Macaca mulatta: one gene and its partners. The protein of the gene in region 1 binds, or shares a complex with, the protein of each later gene. Links are inferred from orthologs where the notes say so. Each region holds a gene or a part of one and is shown in the gene's direction. Other genes may lie near its edges.

What was found.
Region 2: NUP160 (region 1) and centrin-2 share a complex: the UniProt entries of both Homo sapiens proteins name them as parts of the nuclear pore complex. The link is inferred for Macaca mulatta from reciprocal best matches to the Homo sapiens genes NUP160 and CETN2.
Region 3: NUP160 (region 1) and RANBP2 share a complex: the UniProt entries of both Homo sapiens proteins name them as parts of the nuclear pore complex. The link is inferred for Macaca mulatta from reciprocal best matches to the Homo sapiens genes NUP160 and RANBP2.

The regions. Positions count from the first base shown.
Region 1 is NC_133419.1:17,747,256-17,750,755, forward strand, and holds part of NUP160 (nuclear pore complex protein Nup160), read left to right. Parts: exon of another isoform or gene 1-1,127; intron 1,128-1,437; exon of another isoform or gene 1,438-1,634; intron 1,635-1,808; exon of another isoform or gene 1,809-1,820; intron 1,821-2,310; coding exon 2,311-2,521; intron 2,522-2,843; coding exon 2,844-3,066; intron 3,067-3,500. UniProt on the Homo sapiens protein: Functions as a component of the nuclear pore complex (NPC). Involved in poly(A)+ RNA transport.
Region 2 is NC_133426.1:159,106,006-159,110,237, reverse strand, and holds the start of centrin-2, read left to right. Parts: upstream 1-1,432; 5' UTR 1,433-1,456; coding exon 1,457-1,459; exon of another isoform or gene 1,460-1,825; intron 1,826-2,407; coding exon 2,408-2,566; intron 2,567-2,888; coding exon 2,889-3,017; intron 3,018-3,487; coding exon 3,488-3,625; intron 3,626-4,214; coding exon 4,215-4,232. UniProt on the Homo sapiens protein: Plays a fundamental role in microtubule organizing center structure and function. Required for centriole duplication and correct spindle formation. Has a role in regulating cytokinesis and genome stability via cooperation with CALM1 and CCP110.
Region 3 is NC_133418.1:19,291,953-19,296,121, forward strand, and holds the start of RANBP2 (E3 SUMO-protein ligase RanBP2), read left to right. Parts: upstream 1-1,369; 5' UTR 1,370-1,458; coding exon 1,459-1,530; intron 1,531-4,169. UniProt on the Homo sapiens protein: E3 SUMO-protein ligase which facilitates SUMO1 and SUMO2 conjugation by UBE2I. Involved in transport factor (Ran-GTP, karyopherin)-mediated protein import via the F-G repeat-containing domain which acts as a docking site for substrates.

The DNA.
Region 1 (3,500 bases):
CATCCTGGCTAACACGGTGAAACCCCGTCTCTACTAAAAATACAAAAAATTAGCCAGGTGTGGTGGCAGGCGCCTATAGTCCCAGCTACTCGGGAGGCTGAGGCAGGAGAATGGCGTCAACCCAGGAGGCAGAGCTTGCAGTAAGCTGACATCGTGCCACTGCACTCCAGCCTGGGCGAGAGAGTGAGACTCTGTCTCAAAAAAAAAAAAAAACAGTTTAAAATGAAGCCCGTGAATTTAAAAACTATACTTCTGACATATTTTCCTTTCAAAATTTCCACTTTTCCACTCTAATAGCTGAAATTTTTTTCGTAAATAGCCTACCATGTAGCTGCAGATAGACTTTTCTGCCTCAAGATGTAAACAGAGGGGAAAAAATTAACAGCATCCGCATAATATTCTCTATATACACTGCTACTGGATGGAAAATACATAACTTAAAAAAAAAAAGGTTCCATCTTAGATTCGCACAACCTCTTGTTCTGCCATTCATGACTCTGACTCTGACGCTAAGGTAACGGTGTATGTAAGTAGATTTTTGTTTTCAGCAAAGGAGACCTGAGAAAAGATGAATTTATCTCTTTTTCTTCAAGAGTTATCAGATAGTCTGTAATCCCAGCCCTTTGGGAGGCTGAGGCAGGTGGATCACTTGATCTTGATCACTAAGTTCAAGATCAGCCTGGCCAACTTGGTGAAACCCCATCTCTACTAAAAAAAATACAAAAATTAGCCAGGTGTGGTGGTGCATGCCTGTAGTCCCAGGTGCTCAGGAGGTTAAGGTGGGAGGATTGCCTGAGCCCAGGATTTCGAGGCTGTAGTGAGCTATGATTGTACCACTGCACCCCAGCCTGACAGAGTGAGACCTTGTCTCAAAAAAACAAAAAAACAAAAAACAGTTATCAGATCGTACATACTCCTCAGAGCCCTCAATCTTGAACTAGAGCACGTTCCAGGATCACATGGCCTTCCTTATAACGCTGGCTGTCTTCGGTGGCAAACTCATAGATCCATCCCAGTGTGCTATTACAGTTTTTCAGCTCACATCTCAAACCATGTGGTGGCCAGTGACCATGACCCAATCTTGAGCTTCATTGTACTGCAGGTTCACTACCTTGTTAAAAAGAAATACTCGGCCGGGCGTGGTGGCTCAAGCCTGTAATCCCAGCACTTTGGGAGGCCAAGACGGGCGGATCATGAGGTCAGGAGATCGAGGCCATCCTGGCTAACACGGTGAAACCCCGTCTCTACTAAAAAAAAAATACAAAAAACTAGCCGGGCGAGGTGGCGGGCGCCTGTGGTCCCAGCTACTCGGGAGGCTGAGGCAGGAGAATGGCGTAAACCCGGGAGGCGGAGCTTGCAGTGAGCTGGGATCGGGCCTCTGCACTCCAGCCTGGGCAACAGAGCGAGACTCCGTCTCAAAAAAAAAAAAAAAAAAATGCTCTGCCAGCGGCACCTGTGAACCACGTGGAGATGAATTCTGAGCAGTTGGTCAGGATTGTATCACAGTTTGCATAAGAAAATGGACAGGTACCACCAATATGATCAAGGAATATTCTGCCTATTTTTATGGCTGAAGTTCTAAAACCCCGTGCAGCGGTGAGATCTGTGGCTGCCAGTGGCGCCTTGCTCCTCAGCTGGAATTAATAAACAAGCTTTTGGGAAGGGTGGGGGAAAAGAAAAAAGCTCCTTTTGAGGAGTAATAATAAAAGTTAGAATAGCTTATCAGTATAGAAACTAACCCTGATATGTTCAATTTGCAAAGGTATTTTTATATTGTTAAAATATTTAAGTAATATTTTTGCACATACATGTAAGCACATGTATACAATTGCTATTTGTGTGTGTGTATGTGTGCACACACAGGCTATGCGTGTGTATGTGTGTGCACACGCATGCAATCGCAGGTTAACAAGTAATAGAAGCAAGACATAACCGCAATTATTAAGGTTAATTTTGTTCGATGCTGTAGTATATATGGAGGCCACATTCCACTACAAGCAATGGCCAGGGTATGGTGTTAATTTTTATTATAGTAGAGTTTAATTGCATAAAATATCGTCCTAAATAAATGACCTATCAAGTTTGGAAATGTCTCTATGTAACAGAATCACAGTGAAATTTGAATTTTGTAATGCTGTTTTTTATAAATTTACATAATGTGATTTGGAGTGCAAAAGTGTTCCAAATCTGTTTATCCAAAATTTTCAAATTTGGTGAATTCACTTGGACACTGTTCTTGTATACTTCAGTGCAACAGTCAGTGAGAAAGAAAAGCATAAACTTTTCAAACAAATGTCTCTTTTTCAACAGGAAGACCTCTGGAGATACATTGGAGCTGATGGAGGAGTCACTGGACATAAATCTGTTGAATAATGCCGTTCGCCTAAAATTCCAAAATTGCAGTGTTTTACCTGGAGGGGTTTATGTCTCTGAGACTCAGAATCATGTGATAATCTTGATGTTAACCAATCAAACAGTGCACAGGTTACTTTTACCACACCCCTCCCGGATGTATAGGAGTGTAAGTTGGCTAAGTGCAATATGTTTTATTTCCCAAATTACTCTGGGTGTCACAAATTTAGTGCTGGAGCGATATCTTTTGGAATTGAAGGAAATTTGGATTCTCATTATCCCTCACCAAGCATACTTTGATAGCTACCACTTAAAATGATCAGGCATACATTTTAAGTTGAGAATTAATTTTCATTAAAAAGAATGACTTTCTTCTTAAGCTTGACAGTTTACAGTTTTTTACTTTAAAAACTTTTTTAGCAATAGAGAGAAACTGAGCAAAATTCTGGTTATTTTGATTTAATAGATTCTTCTTTTTAATTACTCAACAGGAGTTGGTAGTTGAAAGTCAGATGCAGTCAATATTCACTGACATTGGAAAAGTTGATTTCACAGATCCTTGCAACTATCAATTAATTCCAGCAGTACCTGGAATATCTCCTAATTCCACCGCCTCAACAGCCTGGCTTAGCAGTGATGGGGAGGCCCTGTTTGCCTTACCATGTGCTTCTGGGGGAATCTTTGTTCTTAAGCTACCTCCTTATGACATACCTGGTAAGAATGGGAAATGAGCATGGATTTAAACAAGGAATGTTAATATTGAAACAGACCTTGAAAGTTCAACCTCGTCATCCAATGCAGGGATTGCATCTCTATTGCCCCGAAACTGGTCATTCATTATTGCTTGCCTAATGAGTCCCTAATGCTTTACTTTTATACAGTGGATAAGGAACTATAAAGCATATTGGAGCATGGAAAAACAAGTAGATAAGTATAAGACAGCCTATTCTAAATCCTATAGTAGAGATGAGTTGCCTAATTGTCTACCCTGAGATGGAGGTGTTATAACATTATAATTAAATTAATTGAAACAAAGACATTAAATACCCTGCACCAAATTGCCACTATGTCTTGCCTGGATTATTGTATTAGCTTTATATATATCTCCCCAGATCTGTCCTTAACCCTCTTCAGAAACTTCTCAGGTG
Region 2 (4,232 bases), on another chromosome or scaffold:
GACAGAGAGGACAACTGGGACAAAGATGAGAGGCAGTAGTGTGGCTGGCACATGAGGTTCAACCACAAAGCCAGTGTTCTGGGGCTGAGAGAAGAGTTGTGGAGTGATGGGAGGGGACACGTCGTGCCAAGCTTTGGAGACCATGATGAGAACTCTGGCTCGTACTACTTGGGGGGATGATGATGACCCAAAAATTAGGAGTCTGTTCACTGCTGAAGAGGGCAAAGGGCAGAAGCTCCATTTAAAAGGTTCTAATAAGCCTCAGGCCTTTCTCTGCCTGAAAAACTTACTTTCTGCCCTCTACTTCCCTAGATTACTGCCCCAGTGCCTGGAGGAAAATCAGGTGAAGGCTAAAAGCCACGTAGACAGCTAAAGAGGGCAAACTGGACCTCCAGCTCCACTTCTGCAGGTCTGTCTCAGTCCACACAGCCCTTGCACACGCTCCCTTTTAATTCTCCAAGCATACCTCTCACTTCCAAAACTCCTGTGACTCTGCTGATGAGGGCGTCTCGGCCTGGAATGCTCCTCCTTATCTGCACTGTGTGGGTGTCAAAAAGAGTATATTTTGATGACCTCTCCCCGCCCCTCTTGCTTGCTCACATCCCCTTCACTCCTTTCAAAGTCCGTTCCCAAAGCCCCCAGTTCACCGTCCTGGGCTGTTTTTAGCCAGGTAAGACCTGAAGTGATCCTCTCTTGGAACCTGGTCTGGGGCCTACACATCTGGGTCAGTCTGGGGGTGCTCTCGAAGGGCCACCCTCAAAGAGCGAGCCTCGGCTGGATTCAGTTCCTAGGTCCCAGCCGTCCGACCTCTGCCACAACGCTCAGCAGACCCCTTCCCCTCTCCGGGTCTCAGTTGCCCCGTGAGTACAGTCCCTGCTCCAACACGCAAGGTCAATCGTCTCTGGCTGCTCTGATGCACTCGGTCCCTAACTCAGCCTTAGGTCAGCACAGAAAGCACCCGACCCGGGCGGCCCCGCAGCTCCTCACCCTCCCGCCCCGCCCAGTCGCTGACACAGGGTGGCCTCCAAGGGCAAGGCCACGACTCTTACCCGTCCGCAGGTGCCCCACTGGCTGGCCTCAGCTCGCAAGCAGGCTGCACCCACCGAACTCCAGCCCCGGAACGCCACCCTTTACTCCCCTCCCGCGTGAGCCGAGAATCAGCCGAGCTTCTTCTACCAAGAGGATTGGCCCAGCTCGGCGTCGGCTCAGCCAATTGGCGCTCACGGCTTGATCTTGCCCAATAAAGACAGGTCTCTGTCCCCAGCGTGCCCCTCCCCGCGCTGGGCCTGGGCTTTGCCAGGTTAGTCCCACCCTCTTCGGCCCTGCACCAGTAGGGAGCGGCGGCGGCGAGCGGACGCCCAATGGGGAGCGGGGCTGTGCGCGCGGGGCGGTGGGAGCGGCGCCGAATCAGTGTACACGTCGGTTGCCTAACAACCGGCCGTGGACTCCTTTGGCTATGGTGAGTGCTGCCGCTCTGTCGCGCCCCACGCCCAGAGGCTGAGCCCTTCCCAGGCCCCAGCTCGGCCACGCCGCCTCTCCTGCGCCTTTCTCGGCTTTGACGCACCAGTCCTTCCTTTGAGCTCTTTCCCGGAAGAGTAGGGTACAGACGCTAACCAACCTACTGGGCCTGCGCTTTGCTGCTGCCTCCCCTTCACCCACAACAGGCCCACACCCGCCCCTCGGGCTCCCCTGGCCTTCCCTGATCACCTCGGTGAACCTCCCTGGGCAAAAAAGACTCGAATCCCTCACAGGCCCCTGACTTTCTCAGACCTTGGCCCCCTGGCCGCCTCATTCTGCCAAAATTTCCACACAGAGCTGGGAGAAGGTGTATTGTGTTCTATTAAAGTGTTTTTTACAATTTAAATATAGGGGCATTCAGGGGATGCTGTAGCTTCTTGGAGAAGGCACGAAGGTGTCAGATGGATTGAGTTTTATTACTCGATACTGACACAATATACATCTTAACAACTTGCTAATATTTGGCCAAATCTAGAAGTAATTGGGAAGTCAGAGTGCTTACTGGGAAGCGGAGTACTGGGAGTGGGCATTGTAAGGCAGTTTCCAGAACCAGGATCCCCACATTCGGGAAGAGCTGATTATCTCTACTTATTCGCAGTCATTTTCTTGACTAGCTCTCTTTTGGGATGATTTTCAGTAAGAGGTATCCTTACTGAACAAGTGATCTCCCTGCTTCTAGAAACGACAGTAAAGAAAAGGGAGGGATAGAAGTTCATGGAAAGATTCATTGTTCTTGCCAGTAAACCCTGTTATCTTTCTTGTTAAGCAAAGCTTTGGAATTGGTTGCCATAAAATTATTTAAAACTACATATGGGTGTCTGTAACTATGTTATGTAAATATGGACTGTACGATATATTATTGTGCTTGTGTATTGCATAACGTATGAAGGCCTCCAACTTTAAGAAGACAAACATGGCATCAAGTTCCCAGAGAAAAAGAATGAGTCCTAAGCCTGAGCTTACTGAAGAGCAGAAGCAGGAGATCCGGGAAGCTTTTGATCTTTTCGATGCGGATGGAACTGGCACCATAGATGTTAAAGAACTTAAGGCAAGCTCTATGCATTCCTGCCGTACTGCCCTTCCTTTCCTCTGCCTCTTCCTTGTCATCTCCCTATCACCTCTCTACCCCTTTTGCCCTCTTCTCCCTGCAATAAGTAACAGGGGAGGTTGTACTGTGCTCTGTTTTCCTGTCTTTACTTAGAGTATTATTAAATAAAATTGATTGCAAATGTCAATTAGATCAATGTTATAGTGTTCCCCAATCATATTAACATGACCACATCAGATGCTGGCTTAATGCTCTCAACACTGTTGTTTTTGCTGCTGCTAGTTCAGATGTGCTTATTGAGACAATCCTGTTTTCATTATAGGTGGCAATGAGGGCCCTGGGCTTTGAACCTAAGAAAGAAGAAATTAAGAAAATGATAAGTGAAATTGACAAAGAAGGGACAGGAAAAATGAACTTTGGTGACTTTTTAACTGTGATGACCCAGAAAATGGTGAGTAGCTAAGACAATTTGCATGGTATGGCGCCCCAGTCATCTGCAGAGGCCCATGGCATCTGCCTGTTAAAACAGTCATGTGACCACAGAGCAGTCCAGGTAGCAGCTGCATCAGGAGGCCTGCCCTCCCATCATGTTACCTTGGGCTCCCAAAACAAGCCCTTGTACTTCTTTCTCAAGACTTCCAAGCAGATACCTCTTCCCACAGAATTCTAAACCAGTTAGGAAATAGATATGGGATAGGGAGAGATATAGGGATAGGGAGCAAACGTCACCTTGGATGGAGTGCCTGGCTTGACTGGTGTTTCTCTGAGGCCAAAATGGGCTTCCTGACACTTGCTGCAAGTCTAGACTCGAGTTACATTGTTAAAAAGGAAAGGGTGACCTGACCGGGCAGTGGCAGGGCTACAGGACATGAGTAACCATGGTGTCCCCCTACTCATGTGTTTCATGTTCTATTTGGTAAGTCTGAGAAAGATACCAAAGAAGAAATCCTGAAAGCTTTCAAGCTCTTTGATGATGATGAAACTGGGAAGATTTCGTTCAAAAATCTGAAACGCGTGGCCAAGGAGTTGGGTGAGAACCTGACTGATGAGGAGCTGCAGGTTTGTAATGCATCACACTGGAACTTAAGATTCCCACCTTTGGGCCCTCTGTGACTTTTCTGTTACATTTTCCCTAGTGTGAGCACTTCTTTGAAGGAAAGCCAGTGTACTTTGTCCCTCTGTGGACAACTGAATTCTCCTTTAATAGTCAGACAAACCTATGAACGCTGCTTCCAGAAAAATGCACATAGGCACAGTTTTGCCTACTATTTTACATTCCAGGAATCCCTCTAGTCAAGGTAATCTTCAAGCTCCCTCCCAGGTGATAATGTTTGACAAAGTATGAGTTGGTTTTCAAATAAGTTTTCAGGAACCAAGCTATTATCAGGAGTGGCATACTGGCATTGGGTGGACTACAATTATCTATTCACATAGTGTTATTAAAAGTCTATTGCTTGCCAGGCACAGTGGCTCATGCATGTAATCCCAGTACTTTAGGAGGCTGAGGCAGGAGGATCGCTTGGGGCCAATAATTTGAGAGTAGTGTGGGCAGCATAGAGACCCCGTCTCTAAAAAGAGTCATATTACTTAGTCACCTTTTGGCATTAGTTTATAAATTAATCTAACCTGAATCTTTACTGTCATATAGGAAATGATTGATGAAGCT
Region 3 (4,169 bases), on another chromosome or scaffold:
TCTGTGGGGCGAATGGTTATTCCTATATACACGGTTGAACCTGGAATAACATGGGTTTGAACTGCCTGGGTCCACTTATAAGCCGACAGAAAATACAGTATTCGAGGGGCCGGCATATAGGGGGGTCCGACTTTTCCTCTGAGAGTTCCATCCTCAGCACTGACTGCGGGATTTGAAAATCCGCGGATTTGTTGTTGTTGTTGTTGTTTTTAAGAGGAAGTCTTACTCTCGCCCAGGCTGGAGTACAGTGGCGCGACCTCAGCTCACTGCAACTTCCGCCTCTCAGTTTCAAGCAATTCTCGTGCCTCAGCCTCCCGAGTAGCTGGGATTACAGGTGCCCACCTCCATGCCCAGGTAATTTTTTTTTTTTTTTTTTTTTTTTTTTTGCATTTTTAGTAGAAACGGGCTTTCGCCATGTTGGCCAGGCTGGTATCGAACTCCTGATCTCAGGTGATCCGCCTGCCTCAGCCTCCCAAAGTGCTGGGATTACAGGTGTGAGCCACCGCGCCCAGCGGAATGCGTGGGTTTTGGCATAAACCGGTGGTTCTGGAACCAATCCCCCGCCAAGGGATGACTTTAAAAAATTGTAATTGTCCAAAACTTAGTATTTGTGGCCTACTTTTTCATTATGCAATTCTAAATTTTTTTTTTTTTTTTTAAATTCAGACGGAGTCTCGCTTTGTCGCCCAAGCGGAGGGCAGTGGCGCAATCTCTGCTCACTGCAACCTCCGCCTCCCAGGTTCAAGCGATTCTCCAGCCTCAGCCTCCCGAGTAGCTGGGACTACAGGTGCGTGCGACCCCGTCCTGCTGATTTTTTTTTTTTTTTTGTATTTTTAGTAGAGATGGGGTTTCACTGGGTTAACCAGGATGGTCTCGATTTCCTGACCTCATGATCCGGCCGCCTCGTCCTCCCAAAGTGCTGGGATTACAGGCGTGAGTCACCACGCCCGGCCCTCATTTCTTTTAATAAATACGAATTTTAAAATGTATACTTTAGTATTCACACGTCCGATGCAACGTATTTAACCAGTCATCTCCAGAAACGTTGTTCCAATTTACACGCTCACCAACTTGGCCTGAGTGCTTTTTTCTTCCAATGCGTGGCGCACTTATAATTTAGAACAAGCGACCAAAACGCTTAAGAGCCCATCACGCAAATTGTTATCTGCTGGAAATCTACGCCCACGCTGTGGACGCGGGGGCCGAAATCTGATCCCGGCTTCCCAAGACACCGCTCAGAACCCAGCGAGCTACCAAGAGCCCGGCAGTGTGCAGCTCTAGCGCCGACGTCGCCAACGTGGCGCACAGTGCTGACGCAGTACGCAAGTTCGTCGGGATGGTCCTCCGCTGGCGACGTCGCTGCGTCACTGGTTTGCAGGCGCTTTCCTCTTGGAAGTTGCGACTGCTGCGGGGCTGAGCGCTGGTCTCCCGCGCCTCGGGAGCCAGGTTGGCGGCGCGATGAGGCGCAGCAAGGCCGACGTGGAGCGGTACATCGCCTCGGTGCAGGGCTCCGCCCCGTCGCCTCGAGAGGTGAGTGGATCTCGAAGAGACCGACGGCTTCGACCTGGCCGGGCGGCGGCCTCGCGAGGCTCGGGCGTCATGGCTCCCGACGGGCGCTGCTCCCTGGCGCGCACTGTTGAGGCGCCGGCCGGCTAGCGCGGTCCTGTGGGCGGCGTGGCGCTGGCAAGCGCAGGGAGAGCCCTGGGGGGACCGCTGTGGGCGGGAGACCGTTGGCGCTGGCGCTTCCTCTTTCTCCCGGCCTGTTCCCGACGGTCCTCGCTCGTGGGCCCGCCCTGGCCCGGGCTTTCTGGCCGGTCGCGCGCCGCGTAGTACCCGCGCGGCCTAGTTCTCGGGGGGCTTGGGCACCCGGGTGCTATGTCGGCGGGATTCTTCCCATCCCCCGGACATTTTACGTGTTGCGGCGGAGGTCGTACCTCCTTGGCCTGGGGGAACCCAGTGGGGACTGACGCAGCTCCCGGGTGCGCTTTGGCGGCTGTGACGAGTGACAACGTAGGGATCTCAGCGCGAACGTTTGCAACGGCCCGACGGCGCAAATGACACGCGAAGTCCCCTTGTTTTGAGTATGAGATGTTTGTCGCTGTCCCTTTATAAGGGTCCAGCTCCACTCCTCATACTCACCTCCCCCACCCCCAGAACAGTTTGGTAGGTGCTTTTGCTTTAAAAAAAAAAAAATTATAAATTTCTTATAAATCGTTAGTATGGCTTACAATTTTTAACCTTTTCCACAAATGTTCTTAGGATATTTTTCCTCTTTATAGGTAAATAATGTGATCTGTTTTGGATTCAGTAAGACTTTAGCAATTGGATCTAAAGAGTGACGGAAGAAGCTATTAAAGGTGGATGTGCACAGAATGTTGAGTCAGTTTGCTTTGGCTTGAATAATCAGCCCTGTCGTTCATAAGCTGGGTATTTGGGGCCAGTTACACTTTCCATCCATAGGTGGAGTTGTAACGTTGATAGAATTTGATAGGATCCATTTTAAACATTTAGGGTTGTGCTTGATACATAGCACTGAATGTTAGCTACAAGTCACTGTTTTTATTGTTGATGTTAAAAGGATATTGGCGGGGCCCGGTGGCTCACGCCTGTAATCCCACCACTTTGGGAGTCCAAGGAGGGCGGATTGCCTGAGGTCAGGAGTTCGAGACCAACCTGGCTAACATGTTGAAACACCGTCTCTACTAAAAATCCAAAAAAAAAAAAAAAAAAAAAAGCCGGGCGTGGTGGCGCACGCTCGTAGTCCCAGGTACTCCGGAGGCTGAGGCAGGAGAGTCGCTTGAACCTGGAAGGCCGAGGTTCCAGTGAGCCGATATCGTGCCACTGCTCTCCAGCCTGGGCGACAGAGGGAGACTCCATCAAAAATAAAAATTAAAAACAAAAAAAACAAAAAAACAAACGGAAACTCACGGATGACCATGATTATAATAGCAGCACAATTGTGTCTTTTATCAGTGCTTCCAGCAGCCCTGTGGATATTGAGACCTGTAGAGATTAAAGATACCTGTTCAGGGTCAAATAGGAAGTGCAGCAGAATTTTGGCAGTGGTTCTGATTTAGTTTCTCTTGGGAACAGTGGAGTAAGTTACAGCCTGTTCCTCCAGAGAGGAGGAATAGATACCTACTTGTACATTGTAATTTCAAACTGCTGGCGTAGTCATAAATATGAACGTGGTGATAGAGTCTAAAACAGACCTTATTGAGGGTTCCAGTAACTCCTGAAATTAAAGACTTTAATTTTTATGGTTTTTTTTTTTTGAGGTGGGGTCTCACTCACTCTTGTCACCCAGCTGGATGCAGTGGCGCTATCTCGACTCACTGCAACTTCCACCTCCCCAGCTCAAGCGATCCTCCCACCTCAGTCTCCCGAGTAGTTGGTACCACAGGTGCACCCACCACACCGGCTTGTTTTTTTTTTGTTTTGTTTTGTATTTTTGGTAGAGACTGGATTTCACCATGTTGCCCAGGCTGTTCTCGAACTCCTGGGCTCAAGTGATTTCCCTGCCTCCACCTCCCAAAGTGTTGGGATTCCAGGCGTGAGCCACTGCAACGGCCATTATTTTATTTTTGAGACAAGGTCTCTTTCTATCTCCCAGGCTGGAGTGCTGTGGCGGGATCATGGCTCACTGTAGCGTTGACGTCCTGGACTCAATCCATTCTCCCACCTTAGCCTCCTGGGTAGCTGAGACTACAGGCATGCCAGCTACAGGCATGCACCACCATGCCCGGCTAACTTTTTTCTTTAATGTAGAGACGGGGTCTTACTATGTTACCCAGGCTGGTCTCCAACTCCTGGGCTCGAGTGATCCTCCCGCCTTGGCCCCAGGTGCTGAGATTACAGGTGTGAGCCACTCTGCTCAGCCTGTTTTTTTTTTTTTTTTTTTTTAAACAAGCTTAAAAAAAAAAAAAAAAAAGCAAGCTTAGAGCCTTTCTGAGATTCTTAGGGGGGACCTTGGCTTCCAAAAGATTAAAAACCACTGGTCTAGACAGAAGTTAGAATGTTCTTTCAACTACATAACTTTTCCATTAAATAAAGTGGAGTGGTGGCAAAATTTTGAGGATTCATTGTTATGACCACTTCTCTCTTTACACTTAAAGAATATTTTTTTTCCCCCAAACAAATTGAAAGTCATTTACATTAGAATTTGGGGG